Linked DNA regions of Yarrowia lipolytica. The main gene of each other region encodes a partner of the protein of the gene in region 2 in a complex. Links are inferred from orthologs where the notes say so. Each region holds a gene or a part of one and is shown on either strand. Other genes may lie near its edges.

Region 1 (3,888 bases), on a different chromosome or scaffold from region 2:
TGCACGATAACGGTCACGTGGCGAGAGATGTAGGGAAGGCTTCTAGAGGGCAAGCCGGAATGAGAGTCAACTGAATGAGAGTCAACTGAGAGAAGCAATTTGCCACAATAACACATTGTTGAGGTCGGAAAGCTCCTATTAAATCTATCGCATTTGTATGAAATAATGGAGGTTAAATCGTGAGAAAACCAAACAATTCAGATTAATTCACATCCTCCTGATATACGCCATTTTTTACTCTTTCAAATAGCTACTGTATAAAAGGTAGCAATATGAATATCAAAGACCATCCTTTCGTACCAAATGAGACCCTTCATCCACCAATAGAAATTTACAACACTCTCGAGACTCGCTTTTAGCTGTATCTCTGTTCTCAAGTAATATGGAAGAACTCTGTATACTTGTATGTACTGTATGTGTAAGTCGCAATGCCGGGCAAGAATTACTGAGTTGATCGAGGCTTGATCTTGCACAGTTCTGTAAGTTCCCACGGTCGGAACACAGGCTCGCCTCTCCTCCTACTGTTGATTGGAGACTCTCGGACCTTTGCCCTCGAATCTCTCTCACTCTTCCCAAATCTATTATGCTAGCTACTGATTGACCTGCGGCTGGTTCTGGTTCATTCTCTCGTCCTCGGGCTTCCATGAACCGGAAAACAGATGCTTGACAAAGGCCAGCGGGTCGTCTGTATCTTTGGCGCCAAACTGGTCGACACCGGGAGAGAACGACGTCACGGGCAGAACCAACACGTCCGACACGTGCTTGGGGGTCTTGAGGTTGAAAAAGTCCTTGATGCCGACCTGCGACTTGAGTCCCGACTTCTTTCGGTCGTTGAAGTAGTCGAAGACAGAGTCGGTCCACACTCCGGGCCCGGTCCAGTCCATGATCTCGCTGCCATCGGTCTTGTCGCCAGCCATCTCCAGAGTACCACTTCGCTTCTTGGCCAGCGTCTTCTCCACGATTCGGGCCACAATGTCTCGCAGAACGGGGTGACCGGGTTTGGCCTGGATTGTCCACTGGCACAGCTGGATTCGTCGAGCGTACCACTCCTTCCAGTCGGGTCGGTCGGGATCGGCCTCAATACCGACAATCAGACCAACAGTGGAAGGGGAGACCTCATCAGGGATCCAGTTGGGGATGGGCTTGAGGTCCTCAGTGTCGACATCGGAGTAGACACCTCCCCGAGCCAGCAGAACCAGGTAACGGAAGAAGTCGGCCCGCAGAATGTTTTTAGGCATGGCCTTGTACGCCTCCACCACCTCAGGGATCTGAGCATACAGGTGCTGTACAAACATTGCTGCTGCGTCATCGGTCAGCACCTCGTGGACAAAGCTGGGGTTCTTCTCCGTCCAAGTTCGGATCGGCTGTCGGATCGTGTCGGGCGTGTCGTCGGTGATCTCGTCCTTCCACGTCTGCCAGATGAAGGCAGGGAACTTTTTGTACGTCTCGTAGGGGAAGGTGTATGCGAGTTTTTCTCTGAGCGACGCTCCCTGGGGAGGAGTTCGAAGACGTTGGATCTCCTTCTCCAGCACCCGGTTTTCGGTCTCCAGCTCGCTGAGCTTCTTGTTGAACGAATCGAACCGCTTGGCCGCGGCTGCCTCCTGCTCCTTGAGCGCCTTTTCCGTCTCCGCCCGCATCTTGTAGATTTTGTTTTCGAAAGCGGACATATCGCCGGGCAGTAGCACCGTGGGGGCAATTTTTTCACTGGACCCGAAAAACAGGAAGCACACGGTCGCGACCGCGAGCCCCAGCAAAATCACCCGTCGAGCTGTGATGAGAGCCATGGTGTGACGAAGTATCGAGTGGGTGTCGACGTGCGATGTCACTAGAGTTGATGTACGTGTAAAGTTACGCGAGTTTGTGTGTAGCGTGGTGTGTGTGTGTGTGCGTCTTCTCCGAGACAATTAACATGAAGTAACATGCGAGAGATTAACACGATAAGAGGGATTGGATGGCTATTTATATTTTGAGGATGTTGTAGCCACCTCGTTGCATTCATTCTGTCATTAAATCTACTTCAACATGTACTGGTAACTACTTATACCTCTCGCCTACGAATGTTGTATTGCACCCATCTCACGCAAAAGAAACATAAAGGCACACACCGAGAGCAAAAAACGGTTCATAAAAAAAAAAAATTAAGAAAAAAAAAAATAAGAAAAGAAAGTCCGCAGATGCAAAAAGTCGACAGGAATAAAAACTCCCAAAAATAGACCCTCTTCATATATTATAGGTGACAGCGATAAAAAGGCGACATCAATGGGTGCTAGAGACGTGATAGCGACAGGAAAAATAGTTCAATTAAATACCCCAATTGTGAAGATTCTAACGGTATAAACAATATCACATTATTCAAAGTCCATCATCATAAACTAAGCAGCATCACACAGTTAAACCAATAGCGTTCATTTCGCCTGTCCTATTACCTGTGTCTTACAGTGCGTATACAACCTATAACAACTTGTTGTAACATTACAATGTAACGAAACAGATCCCAAAGACCCAAAAACAAGGAGATCATTACTCAGCCATTCAGCCGTTCTATTGCCAAAACAACCTCGGAGCTACAGTACTTGTACGAGTATGACGCAGCCAACAAAGTTGTGCCGCGCCAGCTGGCTGTGCTGCATCATACATGTAGGAACAACTGTTGACTTGTACAGCCTACAAGGAACTAGAAAATAAGGGGTAATGTCACGTGCCCATTGTGTGGTCACGTGATCTCAGCTTTGAATAGATTTGGATCATTTCACTGTGACAATATTGTGCAAGTTCCAACTTATGACATACTGAAAGTGAGTAAGATAACGCTCAACGGTCATTGGTTACACATTACTTGGTTGCTTTGTTGTACTAATATACTGTCTGTATTGGTTCTATTCGTTAATTGATATCGGAAAACAACTTTAAGGCCTCAACAACCACCTCATCCTGCATTCGAGGAGCAATCAACTGGATAGAAAGAGGAGCTCCTTCATACGTCTCGGGAGAATACAACGCCTGCCATTCGGCATCTAGCTTGTTTCGGGGCTTGAAGTCCTCCACAGGCTTGTCGGAAGCCTTGACAGACGAGTAAGGGACTGACACGGAAGTGTAATCCGCCAGATTCCAGTACGCTGTGTATCCCCAGTAGTTGCAAGTTCCAAACTTGAAGGCAGCTCCCGGCAGAACCGGGGTGATGAGCATGTCGATTCCAGCCTTGGTCCACTCGTGCATCAGGTTCCAACGGAAGGTGTCTCGTTGAGTGTGTGCTTTCCAGAGCTCCTCGATGTTGAATCGCTGGACGCTGGGGTTATTTAGAGCCATTTTGCTCATTTCAGTAAGAGATTCTCCAACACTGGACAGCTCTTCTTTGAGCTCTTTTCCTCCGTCGGGGAAGTATAGCGACGAGATGATATGGACGGCTCCAGATGGGTCGTAAGGAGTGAATGGAACCAGTTCGATCTCGACATGCTTGAAGCTCAACTTTTTGATCTTATCAAGGTACTCGTTGACAGCCCGAATGACAGGGGGATGGGGAGTAACGTAGCCGTCGTCAGCGTAGTAGCCCACTCTTAGCTTCTTCTTTTGAAATAGAGCTGGATTCCACATAGACCGTTCAGTGAAGGGGTCGTATCTCCAGACTTCTGCGTCCGACATGACCTTCATGAATAACTCCAGCAGCTTCGGAGATGAAGTCAAGGGCCCAATACATGCCTTGATCGAGTCTGCTCCATGCATAACATAATCACAGCCCGTGTTTGTAATTCTTCCTACAGACGGACGAAGACCATAGACACCACAGCAAGCAGCTGGACCTCGAATTGAGCCTCCAATGTCAGTTCCGAGACCCAAAACAGACGCTCCAAGACCGACGATGGCTCCTTCACCCGAGGATGAGCCTCCAGA
Region 2 (3,789 bases):
AATCGACTGGCACGAGTTCGTGTTGTTCCATTCACTGGTTTGCAGCCTCGAGACATCCTTTGTAGTTTATAGAATGGAGACCTGGGCGGAGCAAAACCCAGGTTATTTTGCGGTAATATCTTGACTTCCTTCTCAATATTCTCGAAGTTCTTCAAGAGAAGGAAAATATTCAGCTCTGTTTGACATGCTAACCAGAGAGCGCTACTGTAGTGAACACGTTGGGGGTCGACTACCAAGCACTTTGATCTGAATTACACAATAGGAATAGTTGATACTATAAAATATGATCAGAAATAGTATCAACTATTCCTATATCATTCTTCTTGTAGTCCTTCTTATCTAACTCATCAGTTTCTGCTTCTTGCCATATTTGAACCGAGCGGATTTCTGCTCGTGCAATGTCTACAAGTTAGATATTAGTTGGAGTTTCGCTCCTGGTGCTCCTCACATCTTCAACATGCAAAAAACTTACAGCACAGCGTCCAGTACGAGTACAGTACATGTACTTGTGCTGGTACATACTTGTTACTGTACTGGTATGGCACTTGATGAGAAAACACAAACACTTTATTCCAGTACAAATTTGAACCACCACACCACATCTTCTAACTGTGATTAATTATATCTATTCAAACATGCATTGATTAACCCTGAACCACCTTCTTGACGGCGTCAGGCTGCAGAGCGGCCTTGCCCACGCCAGGCACCACCTTTTCCTCCTCGGGGCCGTGAACCTTGGCTTCGGCCTTGCTCTGCTCCTCCGCCTTTTTGGCCCGAACCTTTTGATGCACGTCAAAGTCCAGTTCAACGTTCTTGAGAATCAGCTCTCGTTCTCGCTCCCACTCCTGCTTGACGTTGTCAAAGCCCGACTGCCATACCTTGTCATGGGCCTCCTTGAGGACTCGCTCCTTCTCCCGCAACTCGTCCTGCTGGGCCATCCACTCCATGTGTCGCAGATCGTCGTCAGAGGGCTCGTAAATGTGCCAAATGGTGTAGTGGGGAAGACCAACCACAGACATGCCCATTCGCTTGCACATTTTGCCGAACCCCTCGGTCTCGGCGTGCTTCTGGAACGAAAATGCGGGGAAATGGGCGCCGTGTCGGAATACAGCAGCCTTGGCAAGAATGGAAACTCCTCCAATACCGTCCAGCTCCATTTCCACGTGAATATCACCAAAGGGATCTCGCAGGTAGGCAAGATGGGGTCTCCAGGTAGCGTACTCGGCGTATCCTTCGACGATAACAGCGTCTTCGTCCAGAGTGTCAGCCAGTCGGAGACCGGCGTCAGACTCCTTCCACGAGTTGAGATCGTAGGGCTGCTCGTTGCCCAGCCAGTCGGGCAGGGGTCGCCACACATTGGGCACAATCACGTCCTTGTCGTGGCTCATGAGATCCTCCATGATGGTAGTGGGCACCTTTTCCACGTCGGCGTCTCGCCAGTAGACCCACGAGTGATCGGGTCTGAGAGCCACGGACAGCAGCCAGTTTCGAGCACGAGCCATGAGCTTTCGTCGGGGACCCTGGGCCTCGAAGCCGTGACGGTCAGAAAATCCCTGGCCAACGGCCTGGCCAAAATCCTTCTCGAAGATCTCAATGCTACCGAACCGCTTGGACACGTCTCGGTTGCTCTGCAGCGTGTTGAGCTCCTTGAGCAACACTCCCATGGTGTCGTCCTTGGAATCGGACACCAGAAACGCCAGATCTATCAGCACGTGGGGGTATGTCATCTTGTCCATGTGGGCGAACAGCATGGGCAGGTGGGCTGCGGCATCTCTGAGAGGCACCAGGAACAGCACTCGCTCGTTGCGGTCCTGGCCCCGTGCGCTGCCTGTGTAGTCTGCCAGATCGTAGTGGTGCACGCTGTCGATGCCCAGATCGGCCATGGGAGGCAAGCTGGAGGAGGTGAAGGGAACGAGCGCCAGCTCGCCAGAAAATACCCATGAGAGAATGCTCAGGCATAGATATAATGCTGTGCCAAACACTGAAACCAGGCCCAGCGTTTTGCGAGTCGACGGGGCCAGTCCGCCTTGGTTGCGGTCAAACATGTTGGATTTTGGTAGTGTCATTGAGACGTTGTGTGTCTGTTTGGATGACAGAAGTTGTATGTGATGTGAAAACTTGGTGTGAGTTTGGGTGTGGCGTTTTTCTTTGGTCTTGTCGCTTGGTTTGTCGTCGTGTCGGTCGCGTAAAAACTGTCTTCCACTGACCCCCGTATCTCCTCAAACCACTATCGTGTGTTTTGTGTGTCGTCGCCAGACGTTGAAGTGCGTCGTGCAGAAAAAAGACAATTTGAAACTCTACCCACTGGCATGCACGTCCACAGGTTGTGACGTGGCGACGCAAATATCGTCATAGTGCCATAGGAGGGCATATATATATAGCGTGGCTTTAGGACAAGTTGGTCTCTGTAGCTACCTTCTTTTTGTGGCCTCGCATATATAAACCGTCGCCCCTTAATCTACTGCGCTTCTCGTCTCCACCACGCTACTATATGTCAGAGTGGGAGAAAATCCGCACCAAGAGTGGTGGGAGAAGCGCCAAAAACGAAAAGTGTGGGTGGAAAAAAAAAGATCAATACAAAGTCAAATGCGATAAAAAATATGGCTCCCATTCCACTGCCCAGATAAAGGGGCCGTGGCGTACTAAACGGGGGCATATCGATTGCGAATAACTCGTGTTCGACTCACTCGACTCGACGGAGCTTTTTTTGCCTTCAATACAACGCCCATATATATTCTCCATAGCGTAGCATGTTGCGCCCTCCTCTTGTCCCCTATATTTGCTTCACCTATCACAAGAGAGTTAATGTGCAGAGCTAAAGGGTGAGGTGAATAATGCACGAATGAGCCGTGCCTGGAACGCGGTATACGGTGCAACAGCTTCTGGTACTGTACCGGTAATTACAATCGATGGATACAGGTACTATGGACACTTCCCTCTCGTCATGTGACCGTGCTGCGTCTTTCCGTCGCTCATTAGTGTCCATCATGCAAATCTCCCTTTCCTAAACTGCTCCTAGGTTTTCAGCCATGGCCATCTTCAGGCGTACAGTGCTGTACTGGTACCTGACAGTCATGTGATGTGCGCATGGAAGGACTGACGGACTACTTGGCGGGCCAAGAAGCGCGTTTTCTGTGTTCGTTTTGGGCAATCCACAATTGTGGAATGGCTTGTGTACGCGTGTATATTATGTGACCATCAAAAATTTCCGACTTTTCACACCCACTCTTTCTCCTCTGTTCTCCCTATATCTCTTCTATTTACCTCATGTAAATGGCTGTTATTGTGCCCGTGAAGCCTATTTGGACTAGAGTTGACTCATATACATCGACTTGTAAAATACCACTACAAAATCGAACACTGGCCGGATTCGAACACCGCGACCTGCAACCAACCACCTCTAATTATCACCACTATAATACTGCTTCAACAACAATGATCTGCTCGATTTCTGGAGAACCCGCGCAGGAGCCCGTTCTGTCGCCCAAGTCCGGTCACATCTTCGAGCGCCGGCTCATCGAGACATATGTCCAGGAAAACGGCAAAGATCCCATCAATGGAGAAGATCTGATGGTGGAAGATCTGCTAGAGGTTAACACCAACACGCCCACACGACCCAAGCCGCCACAATATACATCCATCCCGTCGCTTCTGCAGGCATTCCAGAACGAATGGGATGCAACCGCCCAAGAAGTGTTTTCGCTGCGCCAGCAGCTGCAAGAAACCAAGACTGAGCTCAGTACCGCTCTCTACAAGCAGGACGCGGCCGTCCGAGTGGTTGCTCGTCTG

What was found.
Region 1: YALI1_C05264g (region 2) and YALI1_F10633g share a complex: the UniProt entries of both Saccharomyces cerevisiae proteins name them as parts of the M-Pol II complex. The link is inferred for Yarrowia lipolytica from reciprocal best matches to the Saccharomyces cerevisiae genes ANP1 and HOC1.

Annotation. Positions count from the first base shown.
Region 1 is NC_090775.1:1,061,538-1,065,425, forward strand, and holds YALI1_F10633g (uncharacterized protein), read right to left. Parts: upstream 1,785-3,888; coding exon 591-1,784; downstream 1-590. Other genes in the region: YALI1_F10616g (uncharacterized protein), read right to left, coding at 1-116; YALI1_F10652g (uncharacterized protein), read right to left, coding at 2,884-3,720; YALI1_F10660g (uncharacterized protein), read right to left, coding at 3,753-3,888. UniProt on the Saccharomyces cerevisiae protein: The M-Pol II complex possesses alpha-1,6-mannosyltransferase activity and is probably involved in the elongation of the mannan backbone of N-linked glycans on cell wall and periplasmic proteins.
Region 2 is NC_090772.1:524,703-528,491, reverse strand, and holds YALI1_C05264g (uncharacterized protein), read right to left. Parts: upstream 2,067-3,789; coding exon 645-2,066; downstream 1-644. Other genes in the region: YALI1_C05252g (uncharacterized protein), read left to right, coding at 3,274-3,789. UniProt on the Saccharomyces cerevisiae protein: Involved in the organization of the secretory pathway. Required to maintain a functional Golgi apparatus.